Coturnix japonica: one gene and its partners. The protein of the gene in region 3 purifies or fractionates together with the protein of the main gene of each other region. This does not show direct contact. Links are inferred from orthologs where the notes say so. Each region holds a gene or a part of one and is shown on either strand. Other genes may lie near its edges. The genes, in order: CLU, PARK7 and SNCA.

Region 1 (7,254 bases), on a different chromosome or scaffold from region 3:
ATCCCCTGTATCCCTACCCCTTGTATCTGTTGCATATCATCTACATCCCCATCCCCTGCATCCTCTCTGTCCCCATCCCCTCCATTGCCCATTCCCCCGCTCTGCATCCCCATCCTTTACATCCTCTACATCCTACCCCCTGCATCCCCACTCCCTGCACCCCTATCCCCAACTCCTGCATCCCCTTCATCCCAACCCTTGCGTTCTCACTCTCATCCCTTGCATCCCACCCCCTGCAACCCCATTCCCATGCCCCACACCCCTTCACAGCCCTCTCCCCACCTCACCCCACACCTCCACAGCCACGCACAGCTCCCATCTTGCCCCCCCTCCCCGCCCCCTACCCACCTACAGCCAAGATCTCCCTGCACTTCTCGCACTCATCCCTCATCCTCAGGCAGCCAGCTGAGTTGCGCCGGATCTCACGGCACACCATGCGATCAGTGCTGAAGTTACGGGACTCTGAAGAGAGCAACACATTAGGGAGCTCCCCACACCAAAACGTGGCCCAAAATGTGGCCACAGAAAGGACAGCATTGCCCAGATTGATGGATGGATGGGGAACCATGGTGGGTTGGATGGGGACCATGGTGGGTTGGATGGGGGACCATGGATAGGAGACCGATGGGTGGATGAATGGGGGAATATAACTGGGGGCAGTAGGTGGATGGGAACAATGGATAAAGAACCAATGGATGGATGGGAGACCATGGATGGATGGGAACAATGGATAGGGGACCAATGGTGGGGAACCATGGATGGATGGGGGACCCATGAATTGGGGAACCATGGGTGGATGGGGGACCAAAGGATGGATGGGGGACCCATGGATTGGGGAACCATGGGTGGATGGGGGACCAAAGGATGGATGGGGGACCCATGGATTGGGCAACCATGGGAGGATGGGCATAATGGATAGATGGGGGACATAGATGTGGGACATCCCCTATTCAGGCCATGGTCCAACGAGCCCAGATTGCACGGCAGGGCTTTTGTGATTCATTCAAGGACTTTTTCCAGGGAAGTTTGACTTCACCTAAAAACATTTCCTGGCCCCAAACGAGATGTTTTCCGGACAAGAGCACTCTGTGCCAACCTCTGTTTTGCAATCAGCCCTGTTCCCAGCTGCCCTGCGTGGAGCCATGGCTCTGGCCCAGCAGACAGTGACGGAGGTGACAACACAGGGATGGTGGCAACATGGGGACAGCCCCCGATAAGCGCATCCAAACCCAACACCAACTCATCCCTTTGGCATCTAACCCCCGTGAAGTGCAACTATAGGCAAAAACCACCTCAAAACCCATCCCAGTTCTGCTAATGTCAGAACCTAAGACTCCCAGGTTTCCACGTGGATTCTCCGCTGTCTCATATTAGGGTTGAGCTCATCCTCCACGCTGACAAGGAGGTGGAACCATGGTGGTGCTGCGCTCCTACCTGTCGCAAAGCCCCCCAGCGGGTGCTCCCAGGCGCCGTGCCCCCCATCCAGCATGTGCTGCGTCATCTCAAAGAGCGGCTGGAAGAGGCGATGGAAGCCATGCATTGGGTGCTGAAAGAAAGGGTGCAGCTCTCGGGACAGCCTCCTGCGTGGCACCAGGTGGACACGTTGCACAGGTGGGACGAAAGCTTCACGGAAACCACCAAAGGGAGGCGTTCGGAAGAAGGGGAAGGTGGGCCCATAGAGCTGTGTGCTGTCCTGGAAGATGTCCTCCACTCCATCCTCCATCAGCCCAAAGCGCTCCTCCAGGTCCTCAAAGCGCCGCTCCTGCCGCTGCTCCCGATCCAGCAGATCATCGATGCGCTCGCCGTTCACCCAGATGGAGAAGGGCGAGGAGCGGTTGAGGAACTCCTCCAGCTGCAGTGGGATTGGGGTCAGCTCAGAGCCCAAAAGTCCCACTGCCCGCTATGATACCCCCAACACAGCTCACCTGGCGGCCCACCAGCCCCGAGCCGCTGTGGCACATCTTGGAGTAGACGCGCATGCAGGTGTGTTTGAGGCAGGGCTTGCACTCCTCCCACAGCGACAGCATCGTCTCATTGCAAACCTCCTGCTTCTCTGCCAGCTGCTTCTCCTTCTCCAAGGCCAGCTTCACTGCTTCCTGCATGGCACAGCACACAACCCCTCACAGATCAGCTCCCTGCAGCCCTGCTCCACCAGCCCTCCCCACCTCACCCACCTCCTTCTTCTTCTTGGTCTCTTCCAGTGTGTGCAGCATGGCCTGGTGCTCCTTGCTGGTCTTGTCCATCAGTGTCTTCATTTGCTTCACCCCATTGATGGCGTTCTCCACTTCAGCGTCAATGTATTTGCTGCCGGCTGCTGAGAGCTCTGTGGGGAGGGTGGATGGGGGGATGGATGGAAGGGAGGGAGGGAGGGAGGAAGGAAGGATGGGAGGGAGGGAGGAAGGAAGGATGGGAGGGAGGGAGGAAGGAAGGATGGGAGGGAGGGAGGGAGGAGGGATGGAAGGGAGGAAGGAATGGAGAGAGGAAGGGAGGAAGGAGGGATGGATAGGAGGATGGAAGGGAGGGAGGAGAGATGGATGGATGGGAGGGAGGGAGGAAGAAAGGATGGGAGGGAAGGGAGGGAGGAAGGAAGGGAGGGAGGGAAGAAGAAGGGATGGAAGGGAGAGAGGGAGGATGAAAGGGAGGGAGGGAGGGAGGAGGGATGGGAGGGAGGGAGGAGGGAGGGATGGAAAGGAGTGAGGAAGAGAGAGAGGAAGGTAGGAAGAATGGATGGATAGGAAGGAAGGGAGGGAGGGGAGAAGGGAGGGAGGAAGGAGGGATGGAAGGGAGGGAGGATGAAAAGAAGGGAGGGTGGATGGGAAGGATGGAGAAAAGCAGGATGGGAGAGAGGGAGGAAGAAAGGATAGGAGGATGGAAGGGAGGGAAGGAGGAAGAATGGGAGGGAGGGATGAGTATCTCACTGCTCCCAAGACAAACTGAATTTCCCCCAGTGCATGCAAACATTTGCTCACAATAGTCAAGTTCACAGAGAAAAGTGACTTAGAAACCAAACCTTAACCCAGCTGGGGCTGCATCCCACTGCCCTCTGCAGACAGTATTTGGGCAGCATCACCCATGGGTTCCCCCCACCCCTGCCCAGTAGCCACCTTCAAGCATCCAGTCCCACGTACCCAAAGCCCCCCCCCCCACTTACGTTTCAGCTCATTGGGGGGCACAAGGCCTTGCCCCTCCTGGCAGACGAGCCCCAGGCCGAGCAGGGCGAGCAGCGGCAGCTCCATGGTCCAGTCCCAGAGCAGCTCGGACCTGCGTGGGTGAAGGCAATGAGAGGGATTGGGATCCGGGCACGGGGCCGTGAGTCAGCAGCGGGCACCGGGCCACCGCCGTGGGCACAGCATCGGGTAGGGCTGTGCCAAACTCCAATGCAGCCAAAGCACCGAGCAGGACTTTCTTCTCCTCTTTTTCTTCTCCCTGTGTTCACACGGGGGGGGGGGAGGGAGAGGAGGGAAGGATATCGGGAAGGGCTGGGGGGAGGCAAAGCCGCTATGGGGCAGCCCCCCAACAAAATAAAGAGCGTTGTGCAATAGCTCAGCTGCAGTGTGTGGCTACTAAATGCCCCAGTAAGAAAGAGTTGTGCAATCAGCTGCACAGTGGGGCTCCAGCACCGTCCCTGGGGCTCAGGCCTTCCCTTGGGGGGAGGGGGGTCCTGGCCCCGTGCCCCCACTGCAGCAGCATTGCTGCTGCATGGCCCCATTGCTGCCCCACAAAGATACTGCTACCTCCCCCCAAAAAACCCTTATTAACACCCCCCCCCCCCCCAAAAAAATGCTGATCATCCCCCAAAATAACTGCCCTCCTCCCCCCAGAGAAAACAACCGATGTCCTCCCCCAAAGAAAGAAGTGATGCCCTCCCATCCTGCACACAGCATTGTGGGAAACTCCTGCTTGGTGCATCACAGCCCTTGGCACAGACAGAGGGCAACTATAGGGGGACATAGCTCTGCCTCCATAGTGGGTCCCTATGGAAGGGAAGGGAAGGGAAGGGAAGGGAAGGGAAGATCCTACCTGCGCTCAGTGCCGGCTACCCCGGGAGCTCCACTGCCCGCCCCCACCCGCCCCCTTTTATCCGGCCGGCCGCTGCGGGTCCGCCCAGCTCCCAGCCCGGAGCTTTCTGGAACCGGCCCCCCTGTGTCGTTCCCCCCCCTCCCCCCGATATCCGCCGTCTCCCCGACGCAGCGGGGATGGGCGCGGCTTCGCTTCCCCTCCAACCCTCCCCCTTTATTGGGGAAACTGAGGCACGTAGTCCCTGTTTCCACTCCATGCCTCCAGCATAGGGGACGTGCCACCAAACCCCCACCTCTCGAAACGAGAAGCAAAGGAAAGAATCCCATTGTAAAGAATCTCAAAAGTGCCCAGCGCATCCCCCGCAGCGATAAGCGAGCGGGGACCAACGGGATAAAGCAGCCCCGGGGTGGGAGGTGGGGTAGGGGGGGGGGAACAACGGGGTCGGAGCGGAGACGGGCAGTGGGAGGAGCGGCCACGGCGGATGGCGGGGGGAGGGTGGAGAGAGGCTCCGCGAAAGCGAAACGAAGGTACGGAGAGAGCGAGGCTGCGGCTGAACGGTGCGGGCACCTGGGGGGGGCTTGGGGGGTGTATAGGGGTGTATAGGGGCTGTGTGTGGGTCGCTGTACGTGGGGGATGGGGTGGGATGGTCGGAGGGATGCGGGGGGGGGTTCTTGGGGTGTATGGGGTGGTTGTGCATAGGGGTGCGTGGAGTACGGGACTCTGTGCATAGAGGTGCGTGGGGATGCACGTGTATATGGGGTGTTTGTGTTTGTAGGGGTGTATGGGATGTTGTACACGTGGGGGTGCATTGGGGTATGGGGCTGTGAGTGGGACACTGCATATGGGTGTGGGGTTGTGTGTGGGACGCTGTGCATAGGGGTGCGTGGGGGTGTGGGGTGGAGTGGGGCGCTGTGCATGGGGGGTGTATATGGGACACTGCATAGGGGTGTTTAGGGGTGTGGGGCTGTGGGTGGGATGCTGTACATAGGGGGGTGTGGGGCTGTGTATGGGGCATTGCACAGCGGTGTTTGGGGGCGCAAGGTTGTGAGTGGGACACTGTGCATAGGGGTGCATGGGGGTTCATGAGGTGTATGGGGTGTGTAGGGTCATGAATGAGACAGTTATGCATGGGGTGAATGGGACACCCATGTATAGGGCTGCAAGAGGTGCATGGGGATGAGTAGGGAACTTGTGCATTCGCGTGCATAGGGATGCATGGAGGTGCAGGTTCATGTATGGGACACTTGTACTGAGGTGCATGGGTTTGCATATGGCTGCAGGGCTGCTCATCCATGGGGGTGTGCATGGGGCTGAACGTGTCACTCATGCATAGGGTGCATTGGAGTGCAGGGCTGCATATGGGATACTTGTCCATAGGGTTATATAGGGGTACACAGGAGTTCATAGGGATGCAGGGCCATAAATGGGACACTCATGCATAGGGGTGCATGGGGAGTGCAGGGCTGCATATGGGATACTTGTCCATAGGGTCATATAGAAGTGCACAGAAGTTCGTAGGGGTGCAGGGCCATGCATGGGATGCTGTGTGTGTGTGGGGGGGTGCTGCAGCTGCACTTTGTGTTCCTATTTCTGTGTGCTGTGCTCAGTGCTCAAGGTTAACGCGGGGGAGGGTTTTGCTATCAGTTCTGCTCTCATAGCAGCTCTGCTCTTCTCCCACAGACCTCAGTACCAGCTGCAGTAGGAGTGGACGTCGGGTGAGCTTACTGCTCTGTGGGCAGAAGCACCACCTTCTTCACCTTCCCTTTTCCTCATCCTCTTCCTTTGAGGTGCAGACCCGGAGGCATTTCTTCTCTTTCTATCAGTTTCTGAGCCCCCAGCGCATATCTGTGGGCTCAATGGAGTTCCGGAACAGGAGCATCAGGCCACGGATGGAAAGGTACCATGGGATGACGGAGTTCCAGGGTGAGCACAATAATCCATGGGTGGAGGAGTTCAAAGAGGTGTGGGCAAAGTACGACATGGACTGTGGGAAGGTGAAGGAGGAGGTGGAGGTGGGTGAGGATCCAGTGCCGTACCAAGAAGATGAAATCCCACCAGACTTGGAAAGAAGGATGGCCCCGCTGTTGGATCAGATGCTGAAGGAGGGCATCGTGGAGCCAGGCAGGTCGCCCTCCAACAGCCCTCTGCGCCTCTTCATCAAGGACAACGGGGCGACGTTGCGGCTGACGCTCGACTTCAAGGGTATCAACAGCGTCAACCACCGGCAGCCAACAGAGTCCCTGGACCTGAAGGAGGTGGCGAAGGTGCTCAGCCCTCGCAGCCGCTATTTCTCCTACCTCGATCTGTCCTGCTGCTCCTTCGCCATCCCACTGACGGCTGCTTCCAAGCTCAGGTTCGCCTTTACCTTCCGAGGGAGGCAGTATCTGTTCAACCGCCTGCCACCAGACTTCTATCTCACCAGCAGCATCTTGCACCGCCGCGTGACCCGCATGCTGGCCCAGCTGTCTCCAGAGTACAAAGGCTGGGTGTCTTCTTATGTAGATGATATTGTCATCTCTGGGAGAACCCAAGAGGAGACCGAGTCCCTCACCAAGGAGGTTCTGCAGCTGATCAGATCCACTGGTTTTAAACTCAAGCTGCGGAAGGCACAGCTGGTGAAGCCTGAGGTGGACTACCTGGGGCTGAAGCTGTCGGCACGTGGCTGGGAGGTACAGGAGAGCAAACGGAAGGACATTGCAAACACCCCGACCCCATCGAACCTGAAAAGCCTCCGCTCGCTGCTAGGGAAGATGCGCTTTCATCAGGACCACGTGGAGGACTATGAGGAGCTGGTGTGGCCCCTGGAGCAGCTGAAGAATGAGAAGTGGCAGTGGGGCAAGAAGCAGCAGGAGGCGCTGCAGAGGCTGAAACAGGCCATCCTGACAGAGCCGGTGTTGCGCTTCGTCGATCGGTCGCAGCCGCTCATCATCAAGACGACGGCGAGCAGCAAGACAACGGGGGCTGCTCTGCTGCAGGAGAATGAGAAGGGGCAGATGGTCCCCGTTTGGTTCAAGTCCAAGGTGCTGGAGAAGCACCAGATGTCCTATTCGCCCGAGGAGAAGCACTGCGTGGCGGTGCTCAGAGCAATGCATGCGTTCCAGGACCTCACAGGGTCAGCTCCCATTGTGATCCAAATGCCCGGTTCCCCTTGGAAGTACCTTCTTTGGGGTGACACCAAGACCTTCTGCTGGCCGACCCCCGGCAAGAAGCAATGGAACCTGCTGCTGGTCAATG
Region 2 (6,457 bases), on a different chromosome or scaffold from region 3:
CAGATGAGTAACAGCAGTGTCTTAAGTCTTATTTAGTTAAATTTTGAAGTTACGTTTCTACAGCTGAGGTAAACCAGACTGAACATGAGCTGAAAACAGTGAGTAGAACTAGAACAAGTCCTTTAGCCAGATCACAGAGCTCCAGTGTCCCCTTCAGTATGAGTAGATTTACAGGCAATGGTCTTACATGACTTAAGTAATTTGGTCACATTCCCCTTAAAAATCCAAAGTAATTAGGTTTGTTCCAGCACTCAGTGGTTTTCTCTGAGGGTCACCTTGCTTGTGTATTCCCAGACAACGCAAATTCCTGTACTTTGGGGAACAAAATTTGCACCATCCAAAAGGAACATTCTGTTTTCCAAGTGAGCCGTTGGGCTCCAGAGCTGCGGGGGTAACTTTGCAAGTTCTGGCCAGAAGGCATTTCTGTGTTCATCCCCTCACACAAGATAAGACCTGTCAGGACACAACGTGGTTTTGCAACGTTCTGATCGCGTTTGAATATTTAGAGCTTGGGCTCACCTGGGCAGGGCCTGACAGACGCCTCTTAAGAGGAAGATCCTTCCCAGAGAGATTTCACAGAAATAATCACCTTTCAAAGCAGCTACGACTCAATACGTGAGTCTGAAGAGTCGAGGTATTTGTGTAAAAACAAGAAAGAAAGAAATGTATTTACAGAAACACAATGCTTCCACAACTCACTGAGCTGAAAGTGGGCTGCACGCCACCTGGAGGCCTTTTTCCTGCAGCAGCATTGCTGTGGCTACAGAAGCACGTTCATCAAAGTCCCACGGTGAATCCATGATCATCAAACAGACCTTAGTGAGAAGAGACTGGCAGCAAGGTCAGCAACAAGGGACGTGGGGGGGACACACCTCTTACCCCAGGCTCAGAACTGGCACAAGAAAAAGCTCCCTCAACAATCACTGGAAGCAAACATCCACCATATATATTTTGTGAAAGGGTTAATTGGGCTAGAAAATCAGCCAGGAGCTGCATCTAGCTGGTAACTAAAGGATAAGCTGTTTGCCTCAATATACCTTTTCCTGAATAGAAGAGGTTGTGTTAGGACCCAGTGACTTAAAAAAATGCCATTAACCAATTTTTTCCACGAGGATAACTTGCTCTTAAGCAGCTACTGCCAGGGAGTACAGCACAGCTTTTGTAGGAGGTCATTTTAAATGTGTCCAAGACTGATATCTGAAATTCAGGATTAAGACAATGACTGGACATGGTGCAATTCCCACTCAACAAAATCAACTACAGACTGAGAGCCCTACAAACACTTCTAAAAGACACATGCTCAAGTTTCCTCCCTGAAATGACACCAGTGATCAGCACCAGGATGCAGCATTCTGTACATGGGGTCTTTGCAGTCAGGCATTCCACTGATTTGCTGTGTGCTGGACATTCCTGCAGAACAAAGCCCCCGCTCGCACCCCCTCACCTTTAGCCCAGCTCAATATTGTTTGCTCCATAGCTTGTTTCCCCCAATAGCTTACACTCATATAAACTGTATGGTAAATTTTCTGTTTCTCATAGTTCTTTGGCACTAAATCTAGCACACGTATTTTAATTATACTTATTAATATTTGCTAAATACCATTGCAGAGATTTCTGGCTGCTGAGCTTGTGATTAGCATTTGTATAAACTGAGCGAGGTGTTACCACCACCCATCCTGCATTGTAATTCAGGCTTTGCATAATAACTGCCTATTTTCATCCACACAGCTCATTACTTCTTCTGAATCATATATGGAAGCCACACCTGTGATTGCTCATAGACTGCTGCTCTATTATTTATATATTGGCATGCACCTTGATCCTAGTTGTGGTTAATTTTGAGAAAGGTGTTAGATATTCCATATTTTAAGTGGCATGTAATCATTACTGCTATTCATTTTCTTACAAAGTGATTCAGAAGAAGAGATGCTTCCCTGCTGAAAACCTGCAGCTTCTTTGTGAAGATCTCTCAGCATTATGGCTGTCACCCACAGAATGTCAGCACCTTAAAGCTGCAAAGGAAAAAGAGTGCAAATATATTGCACAGAGGAAAAACATCAGAGGAAAAAAGAAAGATGCCAAACAATCCCACCCTGAATTCAGATACACAAAGAGCCACCAGGACAAAACACTTTGAAGCCATCAATGCACAAAACATTACGCTTACAACCATCAGGTCTGAACCCCCTAAAAACAAAAAAGAAATGATCGATGTAGTTTCTTAATCTCACAACAAGCTGAAGAGAAAAACCAGCACTACTGAGCGTCCTTCCAGAAAACAAAAGGCACAACCAAACCTACACAGCAAACAGCCTTAATGCCTTAAGACCAGGGAAATTCCCAGTTCCAGAGAAGGGCACACCAGTCTGTGCCACACTGAGTCGGATTATCACACTGCACAGAGAAGTGTGAGCCAGACACTAGTGATAAGCAAGTTACTCACTGCAGCCCCTGCTCGGGACTGGGGAAAAAACGCACAAAGAAGCAACAAACAATCAAGGTTGTTTCATTTTTATTTAATCAGCAAACATTTGTCCACGCGATTTTGAAATGCCAGGATCTAAGATTATTTAGTTGCTAATGATAGTGAAGGTCTTTGCTAACAGAGTTTTCTTCCAGGAATAAACACTGGTGAGATGTCCTAATTTAGGTGAGCACAGCTGTTAATTTCATCCACAACTACATTGTGCATCTCAGTTATTCTACAAAGGACAAGACTCACCACCTGAAATTGTTCTACTCCATGTCCCACAACAGCATTTCAGTCCTTCAATATTAAGGGTGCCTTCACTTGTTCAGCCACCTCCTTCCCCATCAGTACTTCAACAATGGCCAACCCAAACTCAAAGCTCGTACCAGGGCCACGGCTGGTGAGGATGTTCCCATCTTTCTCCACACGGCTCTCGGAGTAGGAGTAGTGAGCTTAGGGGTGACACAACAATAAGAGGGTCAGTCTCCATTCCAGTGACACAGAGCACAGACCTGCCTGCTCACAGGCTACGGCAACTGAGGGGCAGCAAGCTCCACCAACAGCATCGCATTCTTGAGTACACACCTCAATGACTCACATGAGCCAAGCTCACTCTGGGCTCTGTATCCCTGTCCCTGCAGAACCAAGCAACTCATCGCTGCCTACAGTCCTCAGAGAGGAAAAGGCCCTACAGGGAGTTCTGCCAGCTTGTTCACATGGCATATAAGTGCACCTATCTGCAAGCTGTTGAATTTTGATTATGCATATGAAAGCACTAAGGAAACTCTGAGATACAGAATGAGATGCAAACGTTATTTACTTTTCTTTAAATGAAGAGTTAGGACAAAATACTTTCCGAGTTTAGAAATAAAGCTATAACATTAATTACATACCTCCATTCATCATTTTATCTTTGGCCAAAGGATGTGTTGTGACTTTGCTTCCAAATCCTATCCCATGTGCCAGGAGGGCAGTAGGGCCTGTAAGGACACACACACATCAGTGAGAAACTTATCTGCTACAAACATAAGAACACGCATCCAGGGGCTCAAATCTCACAGCCTTGGTAAGGATTATCTGATAAAATTTCATTTGAAAAGGCCTTTATGTGCTGGAATTGTGCACCAAGCAGCATTTTGGACAGCTATGGGTTAACAGCTAACCTTCCAGTTTTTACATTCTCTTTCTCTTTCCATCACTTCCTCCCTTGCCTGAATTGAGGAAGAAACTTGTGTAAAGTTGTCTTAGATCACCCAAGAAAAAAATCCTTATGGGAATTCCAGAAGAAACTGAATGCAGGATTTGGCTGATTCAAGTGTCATTTCTGCGTATCTGATTCATTTCAGAAAATGAAGCAACAAGGAAATAACTTCCCTCGTGTTCAGCTGGAAAAGTTCTGAAAAGCACTACACATAAAATAAATGAATTGTTCTGCAACATACGGGTAAAGAAGGAAAAGACCACCAGAGCCACACTTAGGACTGCTCACAAATTCATGTGTATTGCTCAACTGAAGAACGAAAACAAAATAAAAAGCAGCCACACACCAGACAAAACACAAACACATGCTGCAAACACACACCGTTAGAGCATCTCCTACACAGTTATCATCACTCTCCTCATTCTCCCCTACATAGACCACTCTCTCTGTTCAGCTGGGAATATCGGCATTTATTCATCTTGTTTTTTCTTTAAATACAAACCACATAAAGAACTGAACTAGATATCTAGCTGTGCAGAACATGTAAGCAGACAACCCTCACTGTAGAGTAACTCCATATTTTAGTACCACTCCTTTGAAGGTGAGCCTGTAACACTATATTTTCAGCCACCCTGCTGAATCTAAAGGGCAGAAGAGGAGTCATGAGACAAATTTATAGTAACGATGTTCAGCCAGCACAGCGTCCTCACAGAGAAAATAACCAGATACTAAAAAAAAAACAAACCAAAAATCCCTAAACTAAAAACCAAATGTAATGCTGTAACACAACAAAAAGGTCAGCAATGACAGCAGAGTAACAAAGTCCCAGACTGCAGCAAGTGAGGATTTACTCAGAGGTGGCAACTGTACTCACAGAAACCAAGAAGACCTCAGGTACACAGGGAACTCCAGAGAGATACCCCCACCTCCACTGGGAACCCTTAAATGAGGGCTGGATCCTGACTCCACCCAATCCAATCACCCAGTACATTGCCTGCACCTGAGCTCCCCTGGGTTGGCTCTGCCTTCCCACCATGTGCTCCATCATTGCTTCAGGCCACTACAGCATTTCCACTACACCCAGCAAATTAGTTGTCACTTTTTAAGACACTAACCCAAATGACTAGAAAATCCAAATGCTGATGGGTTTGTAGAGCAAATTTCTGTAACTAAGTTACAAGAATATAAATTTCTAAGGCAGGATACCCGCCTGCCTGTCCTTTCAAACACCCAAGTATTTATCAAAGGAAAACTTGTTACTAACCCACCTGCACATATTGCAGCAATCAGGCCTTTCCTGCTTTCCTGATCCTTCAAAATGTCTTTAACAGCAGCAGACTGTAAAAGATAAAAAGAAGCCGTTGCTTTGAGTTGATTATTTGGGTTGAAGCACAGTTGAGGCATTTTCTACTGCAAATTCATGAACAAGATTTACAAAGAAAAACAGCTTGACAGCTTGATCCCAGGACTTTACCTCTGACAAGTTCTGAGCTCCAAGGTTACCTCCAGGCAGGACAACGACATCGTAAGGTCCCTAAACAGACAGATAAAGCTTTGATGAACAGAGGGTGACCTATCTGTCACATTGTTCTAGGGACAGCACAGCTAAGTGAATTGAGAAGCAAAGGGATCCTTCACTGAGAAGCCTTTTCTTTCACCAAATCTGATCTTGGCCTGCTGTAAAATAGGACAAGACCAAAGGGGCCAATGTGCAGCTCTGTGAGTCACTATGGCACAGTGAACATAACATGCAACACATTTCTAAAGGCCTTAATTCAGTTTTGAAAGTCACAGGAAAGGCCATACTGACCATTGTATCAGTTCAAGGTGATGACCAACCTCTTTTCTGGCATCCTCTAAACTGGCATCAGGACAAATGAAGACATCTCGACTACACTGCACCGGTTCCTTCCCAGTTAGGCCTGCAACAGTCACCTTGATCTAACAGAAGAACACATCTCTCATTACAATTCATGAATTAGAGACATTTGAAAGGTTTGTACTTCTGACAGCACCCAACAAGGAGGACGTTAACAAAATCACGAGAGCATTGGGGAAAGGTAATTTTTATTTCAGTCATTTCTCTCAGTGTTCTCTTATTGTATTTATTAACATTTTATTTTCATACCTAATCAGACAATAATACTGTGTACAAGTACTGATGCAAACGTAACAAACATGAGGAATCCCACCAGGCAGAGTTCAAGTTAATATCAGAATTTTAAAAGCTGAAGGAGAGCTGTGTAACATCAGAAGCTTGAAGAGAACACAGCTCAGAGCCCTACAAAACAAATGAACCTCCGTGCTGCTCTGCACAGCAGCAGACATGTTTGGTAGGGTACGACTTACCTGAAACATCTGCTCGTTTGCTTTAGGCTCACATCTTAAACACTTCCTAAGGACAAATGTTATTCATCCTTATTTGGTGCTTAACACAACTATTGGCTAAGCAGTAAGAAGGCTCAGAACATCCACATCTCGCATCAGAGCACACTCTGAACTTGAATTCGAGGCACAGATTTTGATTTACCAAGTAATCATGGAAAGAAATAAAAGACTTTTCATCGTCCACATACTCACCCCAGCTCGTCTCATGACATCCGTGGGGATGACGGTTTCCATTTCCTCTGCCCCTTTTGCCAGAATCACCAATGCTCTTTTCGAGGCCATGTCTGCAACTGGCAGAGAAATCTGTGAGCAGAGTGATGTTAGAAGGCAGATCCCCTCGTGTAAAGTCTTCCAAACAGGAAAGTTTAAAAGTAACTTGCACTTCTGCATTATCTTTC
Region 3 (7,025 bases):
ACTGCAGACTGTATTAAAGGATATTCTGAGTACTAAAAAGCCAGACAAAGATCACAGAATCCTTAAAAGTTGGAAGTGACTTCTGAAGGCCGTCTAGTCCAACTGCTCTACAATGAACAGGGTCATTACAGCTAGATCATGTTACCCAGGATGGTAGGTGGTAAGACTCCCATGTGGAAAGGAAAAAGAATCCCAGTAATCCTCCATGAAATGCCCTCTGAGCTGTATGTTCCACACTTGAACCTAAACAGTAGCTATTGTTAATAGATTCTTATTATGTAGAAATTTGTTACAATCTTTATTATAATAGTTAACCACTAACTGGACAGAAAGATACACATTTTCTTTATTTACTTAAATTACACTCCCAAATTTCTTAAATTCTACTATCTAAATTAATCTCTTAAATGAAAGACCATAGCACCTTAGGAATCTAAATCAAACATTCTAATAGCAGTGGAAGGCTGAATGCCACAGAGATGACTGGTGAAACTAAAAATGATTAAGAGGCCCCTCTTCACCTAATTTTGTCAGGCTCTTTGCAAGATGTCAGGTAGCTTTCACAACAGAATCTCACTGTCTGACTGCAATTTCTATCTGAAAAAAAAAAACAGCTACAGAAGCAGGAAGAAAGAAACCTTTTGAATCCCTAACACACTGTGCTGCTCCTTCTCTCCAATTATAGAGTGTGGTGGTTGTTTTTTTTTAACCACCTTCCAGATTGCAACCATTATCAGCCTAGAGAACCAAGAGATATCACATCAGTCTTTGTTATGCTGTTCAGGAAAAGAGCTGCCCCTGCTGTGTGCTTGGGAAGCATAGAGACATCCTCAGCTCAGAAATAGAGGGGTTCTGAGCAGCCTGAACATGCTGATTTGGCAGGGAACACAGAGCTGTGACCCAGTTTCAGCTGCCCTCTGCCAGAACCTAGCCTGCACAGAGGTCCCCAAACACCACTACAATTCGCTGAGCCTATTGGTTTCTGCTCTAATGTTTACCCTCCTTGTTTTAATTCTGGCCTTTCCAGTTGCAGCTGGAGAACCCAAGGAACCAATAACCCAGCAAGTTTATTGCTTGGGTCCATTTCCTAGTCGATCATTTTGAAAACTCAGCTATGGAAACCTTGGCTTGCTAAACCCAAGCATGCACCCAGACACATTACCTGTCAGAAACCTTGAGGAGCTGTTCTAATGAATGTGCTTTCTGCCTGCATGACTGAAACTGCATATAGCTCGTTCTTCCTGAAAAGCATTTATCTGCTGCAGGAAAGGTTCTTGCTTCACATCCCTGCAGTTGCATGCACAAATCCTCACTATGGCTCAAGGCTTTGCTGTCCAAGGTATTTAATTTGTGAAATAAACAACAAGCCCACCCTATGCCTTAGCAAAAATATCTCTGAAGACAACAAACAGGAAATCTGTTGCCTTTTGGAGGACAGCTAGTTCCAGATGTCATTACAGTCAGGAGAAGAGGTCAGGGACAAGAAGGACTGTTTCAGCACACAAAACAGGTTTCTAATACAAAGAAACCAATGACCCTAAAACCACACTCAAGATAAACAATAACAACAACAACAACAAAAATTTAAAAAGTAAGCCATACCCTGAAAACTGATTTTAATATCAAGTATGATGTGCAGTGAAAGAACAGCTATTTTGATGCTGAAAAATGAGCAGATGCTCATTTTAAAATAGATTCATCTTACAACTGCTTTTTAAAATGACTTCCATCTCTGTCGGCAAAAGCACCAAGCTTAGCTACGGCTCAGGAGGAGAAAAATATATTCCAAATGAGTAGTCTAAACTACGTGGAGTAGAAATAATTCATTACAGACTGGCATCAACCTGCAAGGGCAGAAGGAATCCTGGAAAGATGTACAGAAACATCAGTTCTTCCATCTGTTTTTTTGGTTTTTTGTTTTAAACTCTGTTCAACTTCTTTTTAATATTTGTACACACTTCCCCAGATAAAAGCAGCATCCATTACAGAATTGACTTGCTGCCAAATCATAAAAAAAGAACGAATCTACAGAAAAGAGTGTATTTTCCTTCCTATTCTACTACCATGCAACTGAAATTAACTTAAAAAAAATAAAATGGAATTCCTCCAGTTTAAATGACCTATTCATATGTTCTTGGCAGCTTTTTTCCTGTTCATTTTTCACTATGGCATTTATGAGACAGTACTTTAAGGCCTGGTAGTTTCTAAGTGAAGACGATGATTGTGTCGTCAACAGTCCAATGTGAGATTTGAAAAGAATCTTTCCCCGGGTTCCATGCAAAGTACTCGCATAGTCTGGGTAAGTCAACTAACATCTGCTTCCCACTTTCTCCACTGTCTCAGTGACCGTAAAGGTTCTTCTTTGAGTAGCCATGGAAAATAGCTGCTGAGGATATGCAATAGTAAGTATAGAACATTAGGTTAACTTTGAAAAACAAGGAGCTGACACCTCACCATTCAAAATGTTACTGCTGAGGACCTTTATTTAGTGAAGAAAGAAAACAAGCTCCTTTCTATGGGGTGTACAGTTATCTTCCTTCTACTCCAGGAAAAGACATTGGCACGTCTTAGATTCAGTTCCAGAACCAACATCTCAAGTTTTTTCTTTAAAAATCCTGCTTAAAACTCAGGCATTCTACAGGATTCTGTGAATTTACCTCCCATATAGCAAGCATCTTAAATAGGGCCAGTCAGTAACTTGCATTGTAAGGCCTCTTCCAACAGGCAAGTTTATCCTGTACAACATTACAAATGCAGCCCCATATGACCAGCACACACAGTGACAAGAACCAAAAAAAAATACATGACACACAACAAACAGCAATCAAACAAACAAGCAACAATCGTCAAAGACCCTATGCTCAGGAGAGTTCAAATCTCATCATGTTTACTTTGCAGTTAATCCTCTCCTATGAGTGATTACATATTTCAGAGAAGAGAGAGAATTCAGCTCTTTCTTTCAGATGAGCGGGGCTGTCAGGGTACACCAATCAGCAGCACAACCTCACTGCCCACCTACCCACATAGAGGACTCCCTCTTTCGTCTTTCCTGCTGCTTCTGCCACTCCCTGCTTGGTTTTTTCTGCTGCTGCTACAACCCCTTCCTTTGCCTTGTTAAGTCCCTTCATGAAGACATCCATGGCTGAAGGATTTCTTCACACAACACTAGAAAAAAAAAAAAACAATACCAAACACACTTTAAATAATGGTTCTCAGCTTTTTTTTTTTTTTTTTGCCAGAAAATTTTATTAAAACTGATTGCACATCAAAATACTTTTGAAATACATTATTTATACTCACATATTATATAACTTCCATCTACATCCGTATTAGCAATATACACATACCTCTCTGTATCTAGGATCGCTTTCAGTATTTCAGATAGACAAAAAACAGTTAAATAACTAGAAAACAAAGGAGCTCCATTACACAACTCACCTTTACATCTCACATGCTACCACAGAGCAAGTTCAAGTTAAGCAGTATGGCTAAGGTAGTCCCTGAAAGGCCCAGGAGTTCCCACAGAAACGTACAGAAAGGTCACTGATAACGCAGTTCTCATTTGAAGTTGCACTCACTGAAAGGAACAAATCCATTCCTTGCCTACCACCATCTCCTCCAAAGGACAGTTTCTTGTCTATTAACTACAAGATCTAATCCCATCATTCGCTGATGCTCCACCTTCTCATTCAAAGGAAAAACTTAAAAACTAACAACTTTACAAACGCTTCTTCTAAATGAGAAACGTTCGCTCATTGTTGTTTGAAGAACCACTAATGTTCCAGAAGGACTTGAGCAAACACAAAACTGCTTTCCAGCAACCCAGCATTTTGCATGCAGCCCATATTGCTCTGCCAGCACTTGAGCTTTCAAAAGGGATCCTGCACATGCATCAAGACTAAGGAGGAAAAAAAAAAAAAAGCAAAGGCAAGAACATGCTACACTAATAACACCACACTACAGCTAGCAAGTAGGTTCTGTGGCAGTTATACAGCCCTACGCTACAATTAGGCCACAAAGACAGTAATTAAAGCCAGCAAGACACCCCTTTCACAATCCCGTCGCCGACAGCCCCTTCCCTTTCTCCCCCTCCCCCTCCCAGAAGATGCACTGCCTGCTAGTTCTTTCCCTCCGCCGGAGGAAGGGATGTCTAGGAAGACAGTGGGGAGCTTGCTACTAACCCGTGGCAATCAGAAGGGCAGAATCCGTGCCCCACTGACACCGTAGGCAGCACCGAGAGCAGGTGTGGGAGCACCTGGGTGCAGAGCGAGGGAAGAAAGCAGTACATGGCTACGTGGCTCAGTCTAAATAAAAGAATGGGCACCTGTGGAGGAAGGAAGAAAGAACGCGCAGGGCTCTCCCACATGTATGTGTCTGTATCTATACGGACTATCCGAGGAGAAGGGCAGGGCTACGTGAGCACATAAGCACCCAGCGGCTCCCTCACACGGCAGCCGCGGCGCCCGCTGGTTTCCCCTCCCGTTCCCTTCCTCCTTCGTGCCCAAAGGAGAACACGTTGAGCGACAAATGCACCTGTCCGCACACCCACCCCTGCGGCTGCCCAGCCCCAGGGCGAGCAGAGCCTCTCATGCACTCCCCACCACCTACCGCTGGGTCCGCCGCTGCAGGAAGGCGGGGGGAGGCAGGGCAGGAGGAGGGCGAAGCGCAGAGAGACCTGATGGGAGCTGCCCCTTCTCAGCACATCGCCAACTCTCCCGACGGCAGCAAGGCAGGCAGCGAGTGTGAAGGAGAGGCAGGGTGCGGGGCGGGGGCGGTAGGAGGAGGGGCCGGGGGCGGTGGGGCGGCTCCCAGCCTCCATCCCCTTCTGGGTGGGAATGTGCTGCGGGTCGGGTATGCGTCGTGACGTGGGGGTGGGAGGTAAGGATAGGAAAGAAGAGGGGAGGCTGAGGTCCTGGTCATCTCGTGGCACCACCTGTCCGCTGTTCGCCCCGGCGGCTGAATCACAGCACTCAGAAGCAATGCGAGCAAGCTGTTGCTAGTGAATTCAGCACACCTGTTTCGCTTCACCCACGGCTCAGAAAACGCCCCCGAGCTCTTGGTTACTTATCTTCCTCTCGTAAGCCTTCAGGCCGGAGTGACTTGAGGTGAACGCTCTCAGGATTCACGCTCCCAGCTCATTTTTAAGGATGGCAGGTAATACTCTTGTAGGTAAAACAAGATCCTTAACCCCACAGCATAATATAATAAAATCTTTGTCTAAACAAGGATGAGAAGCCCAGCCTCACACCTGTTGGTCTCCATTGTACAGACCAGAGCCACTGCATTTCCCCTCTTGGTCTGTTACACTCAAGTCACTTTTCCCCAGAAAGGGAAGGCAATGTCACTTCTCTGCATTGCTGCAGAGCGTAGGCATGAAAAGCCAAATTCAGTGGAAAACAAGGTATTAGAACAGATGGACCTTCAGCATCAGTACATCAGTCAGCATGCTGTACAGATCCTGCAAAACCTTGCAAAAACAGTTTGTTCTGTCATTGCGCTCCAAAGGAGAAGCAGAGCTTGGTACAGATGAGACACAGGGATGTGAGCTGCACAAAGCACCTTCCATCCATCATACTGGGCAGACAGCAGACAGGTTCCTGCTTTTATTTCCATTCTGAGCACACAGTGCAGAGTTTTCTCTTTTTCAGGTTTCTTAATGTTTCTTTACCGCTTGGTAATCTTCCTTGGGATTCATTCCACTACTACATTTAACCAAGCAAACATTTGGTGAAATGTATTTTTTTGTGTGAGAAGGTGCTGACTGAGAACACAAACCATTCCTTCATAATTCTGCTCTCCAGAAAATCCTTAGCAAATGATCCAGCAATTGCACATCCTATTCATCATGAGCTACACTTTACTTGCAGTCAAGGTTGAAATTGCAGAAATAACACATTTTACATGAGCAACAATAACATCTCAAATTAATGACTTTGTCTGGCTAGATAGTCAGTGTTTGAGTGGAAAGCAGCTCTGTCCCCCTGGGACCTTAAGTAAATCCATACTCTGAAAAGCAACAGCTCAAGTGGTACGGAAGCCAACACAGCAGCAGTGCATTTCTACTCAGAGACAATAGATGAGTAGGTGATCAGAGACTTCAGATGAGGCCGTCCAAAGGATCCCTGGCAAAGTCAATGCTGATTGTTCTTTAGGATGTTTCCCACTACATAGCACCAATGAGCTGACTATGAATGAGAACAAATTCTCTTCCTCATGCACGATGCAATACATTAGCCCTATCTGATATAACTGACTGTGCTAATACTAGTGAAGTGGGAATTGTCATGCAGGATCAGCTCTGATGCCCGTCTAGTCTCCAATCCTGTTTCAGATAGAAGCCAGCAATGAAGGCATCCAAGGTCAATGATAACATAGTATGCTCTGAAGTAGCCTGCTTCAAATCTAGGTATCTGAGCCAGTGCAGTCACAGCACATTAATTACCTGGATGGCAGTGTTTCCCAAGAGATGTATCAGGAAAGCAGCAGCTTTAATTAGATACTAATGTTAGTCACCAGCAAACTGTTTAAACAAGTGCAAAACTCAGACAGTAGCATACTTCATTCCAACCTGTCTTCTTTTTACAATTTCTAAAGGGAAGTAGACAGCATACAGAAGAAAAGTAATAGTTTTCAAATAGGTTGTGGTTTTGACAGAGGTATTAATACACCAGAGTTGAGGAGCAAGTGAGCAATCTATGCACGTGACTGCATCTTTACAGAAGATCCTTTTTCCATTTTGCCTACAAAAAAAGTTCCCTTTATTGCTGCAAGTCTTGTATCTGACACAATAGAAACACCTTATCTAATGGTCATCAAAACTTTCTACGCAGAAATTATTTTATTGAAAATTTGGCAAGTGCACAAATGCAAATCTGCAGCAATATACAGAAAAAAGTAAAGACTGCACAGCTTGATTTATGTTTTGCTGCTTTAAACTGCAAGAAAAATTGAATGTAAGTACTAAGCATTAAATACGAGGAAGCTTCAGATTCAGATGATACTGAGATGGCAGATACTAACAGACA

The links.
Region 1: the proteins of SNCA (region 3) and CLU purify together in Homo sapiens (affinity purification with western blotting; 3 studies listed by BioGRID and IntAct, with this or other methods). This does not show direct contact. The link is inferred for Coturnix japonica from reciprocal best matches to the Homo sapiens genes SNCA and CLU.
Region 2: the proteins of SNCA (region 3) and PARK7 purify together in Homo sapiens (affinity purification with western blotting; 3 studies listed by BioGRID and IntAct, with this or other methods). This does not show direct contact. The link is inferred for Coturnix japonica from reciprocal best matches to the Homo sapiens genes SNCA and PARK7.

What each region holds. Positions count from the first base shown.
Region 1 is NC_029518.1:96,031,051-96,038,304, reverse strand, and holds the start of CLU (clusterin), read right to left. Parts: upstream 4,392-7,254; 5' UTR 4,377-4,391; coding exon 4,021-4,376; intron 3,262-4,020; coding exon 3,152-3,261; intron 2,715-3,151; coding exon of another isoform or gene 2,684-2,714; exon of another isoform or gene 2,682-2,683; intron 2,324-2,681; coding exon 2,175-2,323; intron 2,097-2,174; coding exon 1,926-2,096; intron 1,853-1,925; coding exon 1,435-1,852; intron 463-1,434; coding exon 349-462; intron 1-348. Other genes in the region: uncharacterized protein LOC107312362, read left to right, coding at 2,684-2,714, 5,701-7,254.
Region 2 is NC_029536.1:194,706-201,162, forward strand, and holds the end of PARK7 (protein/nucleic acid deglycase DJ-1), read right to left. Parts: intron 6,363-6,457; exon of another isoform or gene 6,344-6,362; 5' UTR 6,342-6,343; coding exon 6,252-6,341; intron 5,613-6,251; coding exon 5,511-5,612; intron 5,206-5,510; coding exon 5,146-5,205; intron 5,010-5,145; coding exon 4,940-5,009; intron 3,451-4,939; coding exon 3,364-3,450; intron 2,923-3,363; coding exon 2,762-2,922; 3' UTR 2,496-2,761; downstream 1-2,495. UniProt on the Homo sapiens protein: Multifunctional protein with controversial molecular function which plays an important role in cell protection against oxidative stress and cell death acting as oxidative stress sensor and redox-sensitive chaperone and protease.
Region 3 is NC_029519.1:31,288,091-31,295,115, forward strand, and holds the start of SNCA (alpha-synuclein), read right to left. Parts: upstream 4,777-7,025; 5' UTR 4,609-4,776; intron 4,346-4,608; exon of another isoform or gene 4,325-4,345; intron 3,166-4,324; 5' UTR 3,141-3,165; coding exon 3,020-3,140; intron 1-3,019. UniProt on the Homo sapiens protein: Neuronal protein that plays several roles in synaptic activity such as regulation of synaptic vesicle trafficking and subsequent neurotransmitter release.